Linked DNA regions of Lonchura striata. The protein of the gene in region 1 interacts with the protein of each later gene in a biochemical or structural test. Links are inferred from orthologs where the notes say so. Each region holds a gene or a part of one and is shown in the gene's direction. Other genes may lie near its edges.

Region 1 (3,748 bases):
CTATCACCACTCTGTCCCCTCCCTGTAGTCCAGGAGGAGTGAAGGGGAGAAAAGCCACAAGAAGAAGAAAACAGTGTTTCTCAGCAGCCAAAAAAGTGGTGTGGTATCAACACTGTCTCAGCCACAGATGCAAAGCACAGCAGCATGAAGGCTGCCAGGGGAGAGTTAACTCCACCCCAGCCAGAACAGTACAGTTCCAACTCCTCATTCCACACCATTCATGTCATGTGTGATCTGAGATATCAAAGTATCCTCTGTGCCACTCATACATTGCTTCATTTCTATGCCCTACTCAAACCTTTTCATTCCATCTATTTATCCTTCATGAAATTGCTTCTTACCAACATTTACAACTTATACTACGTACCTAAACCATTGTTACATCCAACAGTCAGGTTTACACATCCTCTATAACCACTATACCTTGTCTCTTGACATATATGCAGATAGTATTCCCCCATTCCACGCCCTCCCTCCCCCAAATTTCCATAAGAACAGTCAATTGCTTTGGCCCTATCTGTCAAGGGGATCACTCAGGACAGCACCACGTTGGATTGTTAAGCAACAAGACCACTTGGGGTGGGTGAGCACTGCACTCACATGGTTCCTGGTGAGGCTCATTCTCTGTTGGTTCAGATGATTCCTGCTGTATTCCTTCCTATATCACACAACTCAAATAATGGATTCTTTTCTGCCAGGGGTAAATCTCCTTGAGGTAGACAGCAGATTTCCACTTTCTCCTGCACCAAGTGCACCTGGGTTCCTGAGCAAAGACAATCCCACAAACGCACTTGCCTTTTCCCAAGGCAGAGAAACCCACACAGCCTCTCCCAGTGCACCTACAGTGTAGCCAGTTTGCCATGCCTCACCATATTGATATCACAAGCACCTCCCTCCACCTGCTCCAGGGAGATTGTACCTACACAGGTCACTTGATTGCAGTACATGTTTCACATGTGTTAAGGCCTCAACAGTCAGGGTCCACCCCTCAAATCACAAACCCTTTTTTTTTCCAATGCATCTCTCCCAGGCATGGTCCCTATCTTGAATTCTTCAAGTTTTTCCATCCTGTTTTCTCCCCATGTCCCCATGTAGAGGAAAGTGGCTCAGTGGGCATCTGGCTGCTGGTCAAGGTTAACCTGGCACAGCCTTTTATTTTTCCATCCAACAATGGGCATGCAAATTTTAACCAGTAACTTCCTAACCTGCAAGCAAATGCTGCTGGCCCAGGTCAATCCAGCAGCACCTAAACCTGCTCACTTTAAGACATTTCTCAGAGCAGAAGACTTTAGCCCAGACAAAGGTCAGGCTTGCCTCAGATGACCTCCTTGAGTGAGTTTTTGAGTATAATATCAGTAGGACAAAATGCAAAGCTAATGAGAAATGCACGTGATTAGCACTTCTGCCCCCAAGGACAAGATAGCCTATCAAAGTATCACACATTCAGTGAAACTTAGTTAAATAAATAATCTTTTAAATCAACCTTTACCCAATCAAAGTCCAGTCTTACTTATACGTACAGCTCAGGAGGAACGGCAAAAGACAACTCCAGTCAAGGCTGCTCTACATTGATACAGGTAAGAAGTTCATTTTTTCCTAACCCCTTTTCCCTTTGGAAAGTTATTTTTGCAAGACAAATGATTTTGCATGGATCAAAAGGTGTTGTATGCAGTGCACTGTAACCTTCTCTCCACTTCTAAATATGAAGAAATAATTTTCTCTCATAGAAGCCTACTGTTTCTCCAGCTCTGTGTAGTACTGGTTTTGCATCTTAATTTATGAATTATCACAGATTCCCAGTGTTTGTCGAGAAAAGCTACTTTGAATGGTACTTGCAATTGATACAGTCTGATGTGTTCTAAACCATGTTTAAATAGCAGGGAAGTTCATCCCAATATTAGCTAATGTCAGTGTAATACACAGAGACTCAAAAATACTCAAAGCACTGGTCCATGGACTACAAGTGAATCATGCTCTGCAGGATGCATATCCTTGCAAACTGAAATTCCTGTATTCTCCAGCTCCAGTGACATCTGTGCCAAACTCACCCCACACATCCATGCTGTTCTATGTGCTGCCCAAGTAACATCAGCAGTGCAGCAAAGAGTCTGCACCGTGGGTAGCTACAGCAGTGGTTCTGCACTAAGCTGCTCTCACAGAAGGATTTGACTGCCAGCAGATCTAAAGAACTGACTTCTGTCAGTAAAGGGACGGGAAAAAAAAGTCTTTCCAGTAAAATAGTAACCAAGGTTGCTAATTATCTGGATTTTTACAACTGGAGGAATTTGTCTTCATTTGTCTCGTTCCCCCATCTTCATGGATCTTCAGCAGGACAATGTTTTGAGAGATGTTCTCTGGCCCCACCTGTTATTTACTTTCTATACATGGTATTCCTGCATGACGAACTTCACCCAAACCACAGTTTCTTCACATCCCAGAGCATTTTAGGTAGGGACTTTTAGAGGTGGCCTGGTGCAATGTCCCATAGAAAACAGAGTCAGCTTAGATCAGGTTACTCAGGGCCCAATCCAGGTATCTCCAAGGACAGAGATTTCACAGCCTCTCTGGACACTTCTAGTCATACCTGACTGGCCCCAAGAGGAAAAGCTGTTCTTATGAATGTCTGGTTGGAATTTCCCTTGCTGTGCTGCAGCCTGTCTGTTCCCTCTCATCCTCCCACTGTTTATTTCCAAGAAGAGTCTGGCTGTGTTCTCCACACAATCCAGTTAGGCAGTGGGACGATATCAAGAAGATCTTGCCTTTAATTTCTCTTCCCAAGACTGAACAAATCCAGCTCTCTCAGCCTCCTTAAATAAGTGTTTCAGAACCAAAATTCCCTCTGTGAACTAGCTCAAATATGGTAATTACTTGGGGAGATCAAAACTGGGGATAGTATTCACATGTGGTCCCCCAAGTGTCAAAGGGAGGGGAACAATCCCTTCACTCCATTCTCTTTTCCCAAAACTTCATTTCCTTTGTAAGACTTAATCCTGGTATTACACCCTTTCTACAATCCTTACTATGTTTTCAGGCAGGCTTTCCTTATTTCAGTTCTGCATTTTGCTTAACTTCATGTGAGATATAGAGAGAAAAAAAGCAAGGAGGGTCAGAGATTCTTCTTGCTAGTCTTGTTAACTAAACTCAGCTTTGCACAGCTGTTTTTTTTGGGGCCAAAAAAATCCAAACCAACCAACCAAAAAAAAAAAAAAAAAAAACCTAAAAAACACCCCAAGAATTCTGAAGCAAACCCTCTTGATATGCAATTAGGGAGAATACACCCCAGGTAAGCTTCCTGTTCATACTCACAGGTGTTTTCTCCATCCTGTCTGGTAGAGATGACTCCTGCTCTGCAGCCCCGAGAGTGCACAGTGAGCAAGAAGCCCCAGAAGAAATACGGCTTCTTCCTACGGATCGAGCAGGACACGGCGGGGCACATCGTGCGGAACGTGGAACGCAACAGCCCGGCCGAGAGGGCTGGCCTGCAGGATGGAGACAGAGTGCTCAGGGTCAACGGTGTCTTCGTGGACAAGGAGGAACATGCACAGGTACAAATCTGTTCAGGCTGGGATCCACACCATGCCCCAGGCCCACAGCTGCTGTGTGAAGCTTTTTCTTCCAGTTTTTATGGCTAGGAAACCCAGGAGCAGAGTCAACTGCTCTGAGTATCCCCCTGTATCGTTCATTACCCACCATGGGCATGGAATGTCTTTGGGATGCCTCCCTAGTGCATGAGCAGGGGGTGAGACAA
Region 2 (3,748 bases), on another chromosome or scaffold:
GTGCAGTAGGGGGTGCAGTGCGGTGCGGTGCGGGTGCCCAGTGCAGTAGGGGGTGCATTGCGGGGTGCGGTGCCCAGTGCAGTAGGGGGTGCATCGCGGTGCGGTGCGGTGCGGGATGGGCTGGCGGCCCGGGCCCGGCTCCACTAGGTGGCAGGATGCCGAAGGGCTCCGCGCTGCTGTCCTGGAGCCTGGGCGGGTTTAGCCCTGCCTGTACATATTGTCTGAGGACATGATAAAATGCGGACAGTTTCCTGGAGTCCTGCCTGCCCGCGTTTCTTACTGGTTTTGTCATTAATAAAGCAGAATAGGGAAGGTTTCGAGGTCTGAGACACAAAGGAGCCCGGTGCAGTGACAGCCTAAGAGGGCACTTGTTGGCTCAGGAATCTAAGAAAAGAATTAGGCAAAGAGAAATTCTTTGTGAAAACACAGCAACGCGTAGCGAGAAACGTTGAAATAAAAAGTATCTGCAAAGTTTGCAAAAAGTAACAGCTGGTTAAATTGTAGCGCAAACTAAATGTAGAAAAGTACGTTCGCTTCTCTACAGAGCCAGTTTAGAGGGCAGAGTCTGCTTCATTCACAAAGCATGGTCTTTTCCATTCGTCTTTTTTAAGTTACAGAAATGAAAAGGCATTGGAGTGTATAAATATCAAAATAAAGCAGCAAATAAAATAAAATCCTGTACAGAATTAAATCAACATGTTCTCTTTTCTTGCTTCTTGTCATCTTTGTCTCTCTCAAATATGCTTTCTGCTGTGCGCCATTAAAGCAGTGATTTTGTTTGTATGTCACACATATAAAGCTTCAGATCTGGGTGTTTGAGCTAAACTTACTAAAGATACAGCTTCGGTTCCCATTCGTCTCGGTTCAGGTGCGGGCCTGACAAAGAACTTGAAAAACTGAAGCAAGTGTATTTTAAAGTCGGTATGATCGCGCTTGCCCGCACCCTTTCCTGGGGTGACCGCTCGCCCTCTGCCTTAAGCCCGTGTGCCGGTGCGCTCGCCCCCGGGACCGCGCAGAGGCGTGGGGCGCTGGACGGGGGCTTCTGGCCGCGGGTGCCCACCAAGGCCAAGCGCCGGCCCGGCTCCCGCGGGTCTCGGTGGGCTGCAAGCAGGCGCCCTGTGCACCGGGGCGGGCTCTGCGGTGAGCAGCTGCGCGCCCGGGAGGGCAGGGGGTGTCCACGCTCCGACGGGGCTGTCCTCGCTGCGCTGTCCCCGCCGCCCTGGACAGAGGGCAGAAGGCCCATCTGGAGGGGTGGCTTCCCCACCTCGGCACTTGGTCAGAAGAGGGGTTTAGTGCTGGGGAGAGGCTGAGGACCCGCGGTGGGGTGGCTCGGGAAGCTGAGTCGGCAGGTGGAGGTAAGGGGCTGGGCGAGAGCCGTCGGGGAGCCGGGGAGGAGAGGTGCGGGGGGAGCGGCGGGGCGCGCCCGGTGCCCGGTGCCGGGCGCGGCGGGAGGCGGGGGAGGAGCGGCGGCGGCAGCAGCGCACGGGCTGGAGCCCCAGCCCGCCCGCCTTTGAACCGGGGCAAAGCAGAGGCGGGGAGAGGGGCCGGGGCAGGAGGCGGACGGTGACATCAGAGCGGCCGGGCGGATAAGGTGGGAGAGCCGCAGGAGCGGAGTGGGCGAGCGAGGCGTCAGCGATTAGCGGCTGCCTCCGGTTCCCCGCTCACCGCATCTCGCCGCACCTCACCTCACCATGCAGAGGTCTCCCCTGGAGAAGGCGAACATCTTCTCCAAACTTTTCTTCAGGTGGGAGCCCCGGTGCGGCGGGACGCGTGCGGGCGGGGGCAGCGGGCCGGGCTGGGCAGCGGCGGGCGGGGAGCTCAGCGGGGCTCCGCGCCCCCCGCCCAGCCACTCCGGCGAGGGGGGAACCGAGCACTGGGCGCCCCGAGCTCTGTAGTGGTCTGCGGGGAGAGCGGTGGGAGTCTCGCTTTTGATGAGATCACTCTTTTTTGTTGTTGTTGCTGGGGTTTTAGCACCAGGAATGGGCTCTGTCAGGTGTCATAAACCTTTGCTGGACCCGAACAGATGAATTTATGACATAATTTGAGCAACCTTTGGTAGTTGCTCAACTAGTTAATCTCTTATTTCATGTAAACTTTGAGAACATCGTGGGGTGGTAGGGAGCAGAGGGGAAATGCTCTCAGAACAAGGATTCCTCCTGTTTGGCTCTTTGAGTGTTTAGCACTTGCTCAATGTGCAAGTATAATATATGATCTTACTGTAAACAGTTCCTTGCAAGCTTTGAATGTGTTCTCTTACAAGCAAACTCCCTAGTGACTTCTCTTTCTAAAAACTTCAAATAAAAAGAGAAGGAGCCAATACTAGTGCCTGGGCACAATGTACTTTGTAAGACAATATGGAAGCTGAATAAGTCTTATGTGACATCCCTAGAAATGACACTGTGAACTGGAAGGAGCAAATAATCTCTTTGGCATTGGCCCACACAGCACTGCTTTTGCCAGAGTACTGGTTCCCTCTTTTGTTACCGGGGGGTCTCTTGCATGGCAAGGAAGGGTGAGAGGAAATCTTGTGTAAGATGTGAACATGATGACTGAAGTGAGAGTGCATGGTGTAAAACTATAACATTGTTGTGAGGTCTCTGCCTGAAAAACTGAGGGCTTTTAGCTCACTTTAAAATCCTTTTGGGATAGCTTTCAGCAGGTTGGTCTGCACATTTTTGAAGTTTCTTAATGGGACTCTGTATGAGTCACTGTTTGCCTGTCTCTCCCCCTTTGGTGCATGTTAGCCAGATATAATAGCAGGGAATAATCCCAAATATAACCTGTTCCTAAAGTTTTACCAACATCCAGGTAAACATAGTGATCTTATATGTTTTCTCCAATGGTGCTGCAGTGGGAAAAAAGCCTTGTTTGCTGTCAAATACTGTTAGAGTCAAAGAGTATGCATGACAGGGGTGTACTGTGTACAGTAATGATGTACACAGTAATGTGTACATAAATGATGCTTCAGTCAGTGTTCCTGTCAAGTATAAGACAGAATCTGTAGGAAATAATTCTGTATCTTAATTTAGTAGCTTGAGGGGGCCACTTGCTCTATTTAATTTTATTTATTTACAAATTTATATGAATTTATAATCTTAGAACCTAGGGTGTTGAAGGTGTGAAGAAAAAAACCAAATAAGATAAAGCAAATACATTTCTGATTCCTACCATAGTGAAAGTTTTCATGTCTGAAACCAGATGCAGTTCATGCTCATTAAGTATGTAATTAACCATCCAGATGCCTGTGCTCACCTTTTAAATCACAGTCTTTAAGTCAATTGAATGTTGTTTTAATCATGTTTGTCATGCATGATGCATTATACTGTACCAGCTTTTGGTCAGGTGACTGTAACCAAAGTGATAATAATAAAATATATGAAGTTAAGGAGATGTTCATGATGAATATTAACTAGAGCAAAGAAATGGAAAAGAGATGTATGGAGAGAGATTGCTTTTTTCAGTGATAATGAAATAGTTGTTATCAAGTACAACACAGTACATGTTTCAGTGAAGTGACTTTTATGAGAGTCTGCAATGCATTTATGTGTGAAGTACCAATCTGAATATAATGTAATAAGTTGAAGATCATGTTAGCACAAGTGATGTTAAAATATTAACTATGATTGTTCAGGAAATCTTTCTGATAAATATATTACTATTTAATATTGTACAAACTGTTATCAGCTATAGATGCATAAACATCTTGGCAAGGTTTTATTGCTTCATAATCTATCCTGTTTGGGTGGGA
Region 3 (3,748 bases), about 63 Mb from region 1:
AGAATCACAGATCCATTAAGCTGGAGAAGACCTTTGAGATCCTTGAGTCCAACCTATGGTGGCCTAACACCACCTTGTCAACTAGATGTGGCATCAAGTGCCACATCCAGTCTTTCCATAAAGACCACCAGGGGCGGTGGCTGATCAGTGACTGATAACACTCCACAGAGCTGTGCTGCCATCCAGAGGGACCTCAACATGCTGGAAAAATAGGCTCATAGGAACTTCATGAAGTTCGAAAAACAGAAGAGCAAAGTCCTGCACCCAGGGAGTAACAACCCCAGGCACCACTATGGGCTGGGGGCTAGCTTGGGGTCCTGGTGGACACCAAGTTGAACATAAGCCAGCAATGTGTCCTTGTGGCAAAGAAGACTAATGATATGCTAGGATGCATTAGAATGAGTATTTACCAGCAGACCTGAGGTGATCTTTCCTCTCTACTCAGAAGTGAGGACCACCTGGAGTCCTACATTAAGTTATGGGCTCCCCAGTCCAAGAGGGACATGGACATACTGGAGAGACTGCAGTGAAAGGTCACAAGGATGATGAAGGGAGTCTAGTAATCTTTCCTATGAGGAAAGGCTGAGAGGGACTGGAGACCAGGCTAAGAGGGGTCTCATTAGTGTGTATATTGATGAACAAAGGACAGAACCAAGTTCTGCTCTGTAGTACCCAGTGACAGGACCAGAAGCAATGGGTACAAGCTGAAACACAGCAGGTTCCATCTGAACATCAAGAAACACTTCTTCGTTGTGGGGGTGACTAAGCACTAGCATAGGTTGCCCAGAGGGGCTGTGTATACTATGGAGAGTATCTCCATCCTTGGAGATACTCAGAAGCTGCCTGGGCATGGCACTTAAACAGCAGGGATTGGACCAGCTGACCTCCAGAGGTCTCTTGCAACCTCAGCCATCCTGGATTTTATAGACTGCAGAGAAATAAAAGCATGGCAGGGAATCATTCTGCCACAGAGATTAACAATTCTTAGGTTACTTCAGGTACCTGTCCTGCATTTTCTGCTTTCCTTGCAGTTTTCGCTCTTCTTCATCAGGGTCCCTTTGGCAGGCCATAGGTGAGGTGACTGGAGAGGAGGCTACCTGCTGAACCTTTAGAACTGTCAATTTCAGTGATACGCCACGTCCTGAAATTAATTCGCTCCTTTATTATGTATCGCCAACCTCTCCTAAACATTGTTCTTATGGTTTGGTTATCGATTTCTAATAGAAGAATATGCAATATCAGGGAAGGAGCGCTGACAGCAAGCGTTTGGTCCCGCTAAGTCTGACTTGCCCTTGACTCGTGAGGGATTTTTCTGTCCAAAAATCCAGCGCCACCTCGCCTGGCGCTGCGTGCAGCGAGGAGATGCTTTCCATCAGCAAGGGGCACACACAGGTGCGAAAGCGGGGGGAGCAGAGCCTGCCGGCCAGGGGCTCGGTCCGCACTGAGCCAGCCGCAGCGGAGCGGCTCCGGCGCTGCCCGGCACCTCCTCGGGCGTCGCGGGGAAGCCGGGCCGGCAGGAGGCGTCTTGTGGCGGCCAGCCGGAGGAGGAGGAAGAGGAGGAGGAGGAGGGCCGAGGCGGGGGTGCTGGTTCTCCCGGAAACAGCGCCGGCCGGCGGCGGAGCAGCGGCTGCTGGCGGTGGGAAGTCGCCCGTGGTCCTGCGCCCTCGCCGCACGCCGGGCGGGTCGGGGCGGCGTGGCGGGCGGCATGGAGCCGGTGCCCCGAGAGGAGAAGCCTAACCCGCTGCAGGATGCCAACCTCTGCTCCCGGCTCTTTTTCTGGTGAGCGCCCGGGCGAGGGCAGGGGGGAGGGCAGCGCTGGAGGCGCGGCGCCGGGCACAGCGCCGCTGGCTTCACCTCGCCCGGCCGCTCGGGAGTGCCCAGGCTCGGCTGAGGGTGCCCGGCTCGCACTTGAGCGCGGCTCCCGGAGCGTCCGGGCGCCGGGAAGGGAAGCGGCGGCCGGCGCTGCCCCGCTGCTTGATGATTGTGCAGGCGCGGCTCGGGCGCGACCTGCCGCCCGCCCCCGCGGGCCCGGCTGCCAGCGCTGCCCGCCCGGGTAGCCCCGGGTCGCAGGTGGGCTGAGGTCTCCTGAGGTGACGCCGGCAGCCCGCGATAATCCCCGGCTGCGGTCTGCGGACGGCGCAGCCGGGGGCCTGCCTGTCGGCGCGGCGGCGCTCCGCCGGGCGGGCGGCGCCGAGCGCGGCCCCGTCGGCCCCTCGGAGCACATGTTTGTTCCCTCGGTAGCTGCGGGGAGGACGGGAGCGCCTTTTGCTTCCTGGCCCGGGCAGCCCTGCCGGGGACTGGGTGCAGGGCTGCTCCCGGGCATTCTTGTGATTCCCCGTTTGAATAACGGGTCGCGGGCGGGGATTGCTCATCCCGGCGTGAGGCTTTGCCCTCCGGCAGTGAGGTGGTTCTGACCCGTGTGGCTGCGTGGGAACTCCCCGGGGTAAGGGGTGGCGGGGCAGCATCCTGGCTGCGCTCGCCCACGCCTCTGCTGCCCCCGCTCCGGAGGGGCTTGGGTCTCACGGAGCGAGGGCTGGCGGTGTTGCCACAAACTGTACGGGGCCACAGGGCTCCCAGCCCAGAGTTAGTGCTTGGTCTTCTTCTGGGGACCTCGGCGTGGGTATCTATGTGTACTCAAAGAGGTGAGGAATTGCAGCTCGGCGTTTTAGTTGCTTTGAACTGTAGTAGGAAAACATTTGCAAAGTAAAACGGGAGAGCACCAAACTTGTTTGTCCTAGCAGATCCCATTTGGAAGAGCACTTCCCGAGAAAGTTCTTATCCTGCTTCACCGGCTGCAGCCTGAACCAGGGTGCACATGTTGTGTGGTGGAGGAGGGGGAAGGAAGGGAGGGCATGGCAGGTGAAGCTCTTTTTTTGGAAGCCTCTGAAACACAAATTAAAAACTCTTTGATTCTATAAGCAACTCTGAGCAGGTGCAGAAGTCCCCTTTGGAAGGTAGTGGGGTTTTAAAAACCCTGACAAATTTTAACTAAACTTGTTTATCAGTCAAAGATATATCTTCAGAGGTACTATTTGCAAAAAACAAAGAAAATAAGTAAGTAATAATAAAAAAGGCAGCTTGTATGCTGGTGCAGAACTCCCTGTGTTCAGGATTTTGACTTTTCCCTTTAACACCAGGGATGCCTGTGTTGGAAACAGCTTTGTTGTAAAATCCAAGCAGAATGGGATGAACCTAAGTTGGCCATGTAGCATTCCACAACTGCTTCTGGTCTGTTCCCTTTCCCTTGCTGGAATCTTGTGGTGTTACTGGTAGTTCTGCCAAAACCAATCCAGCTAGATGTGATGCAGTGCTCATAGCCAGCTTTCTGACTGCTTGTATCATTCTTTTTGTGGCCTTCTGTATCACTCTGCATTGTTTTTAGGTTCTTACTTTGCTAAGGGAAAATAGGTGGAAGGCTGTGCTTGGGGAATGACAGCTCTGCTCAGAGTCCAGAGATCAACTAGGACTTGAGACTTCACAGTCAGATGCTGGTGTACAACCATAAAGCTTCTGCTTTGGAAAAGCATTTAGTGGAGCATGTAAAGCTTTAGAATTTGCCCAGTGTCCTGCTTATCAGGCTTTTATAGCAGTGTAATTCAAAGCAGTGAAAATAGCCTTCTAAAGTCTTGTCTCTTACCTGTGGTGCTTGTGATCACAACTAACATGGGTATATTAGTCAACAAGCATTAGTGTTTTCTGGGTGTACATTTCAGCTGAAATGATACCTTCATTCTTCTCCACTGTTTAG

Evidence for each region.
Region 2: the proteins of PDZK1 (region 1) and CFTR form a complex in vitro, tested with the Homo sapiens proteins (2 studies listed by BioGRID and IntAct, with this or other methods). The link is inferred for Lonchura striata from reciprocal best matches to the Homo sapiens genes PDZK1 and CFTR.
Region 3: the proteins of PDZK1 (region 1) and ABCC4 form a complex in vitro, tested with the Homo sapiens proteins (2 studies listed by BioGRID and IntAct, with this or other methods). The link is inferred for Lonchura striata from reciprocal best matches to the Homo sapiens genes PDZK1 and ABCC4.

What each region holds. Positions count from the first base shown.
Region 1 is NC_134604.1:14,078,323-14,082,070, forward strand, and holds the start of PDZK1 (Na(+)/H(+) exchange regulatory cofactor NHE-RF3), read left to right. Parts: upstream 1-1,522; 5' UTR 1,523-1,577; intron 1,578-3,333; 5' UTR 3,334-3,335; coding exon 3,336-3,545; intron 3,546-3,748. UniProt on the Homo sapiens protein: A scaffold protein that connects plasma membrane proteins and regulatory components, regulating their surface expression in epithelial cells apical domains.
Region 2 is NC_134607.1:34,226,212-34,229,959, reverse strand, and holds the start of CFTR (cystic fibrosis transmembrane conductance regulator), read left to right. Parts: upstream 1-1,569; 5' UTR 1,570-1,691; coding exon 1,692-1,744; intron 1,745-3,748. UniProt on the Homo sapiens protein: Epithelial ion channel that plays an important role in the regulation of epithelial ion and water transport and fluid homeostasis. Mediates the transport of chloride ions across the cell membrane.
Region 3 is NC_134604.1:76,663,782-76,667,529, reverse strand, and holds the start of ABCC4 (ATP-binding cassette sub-family C member 4), read left to right. Parts: upstream 1-1,614; 5' UTR 1,615-1,705; coding exon 1,706-1,779; intron 1,780-3,748. UniProt on the Homo sapiens protein: ATP-dependent transporter of the ATP-binding cassette (ABC) family that actively extrudes physiological compounds and xenobiotics from cells.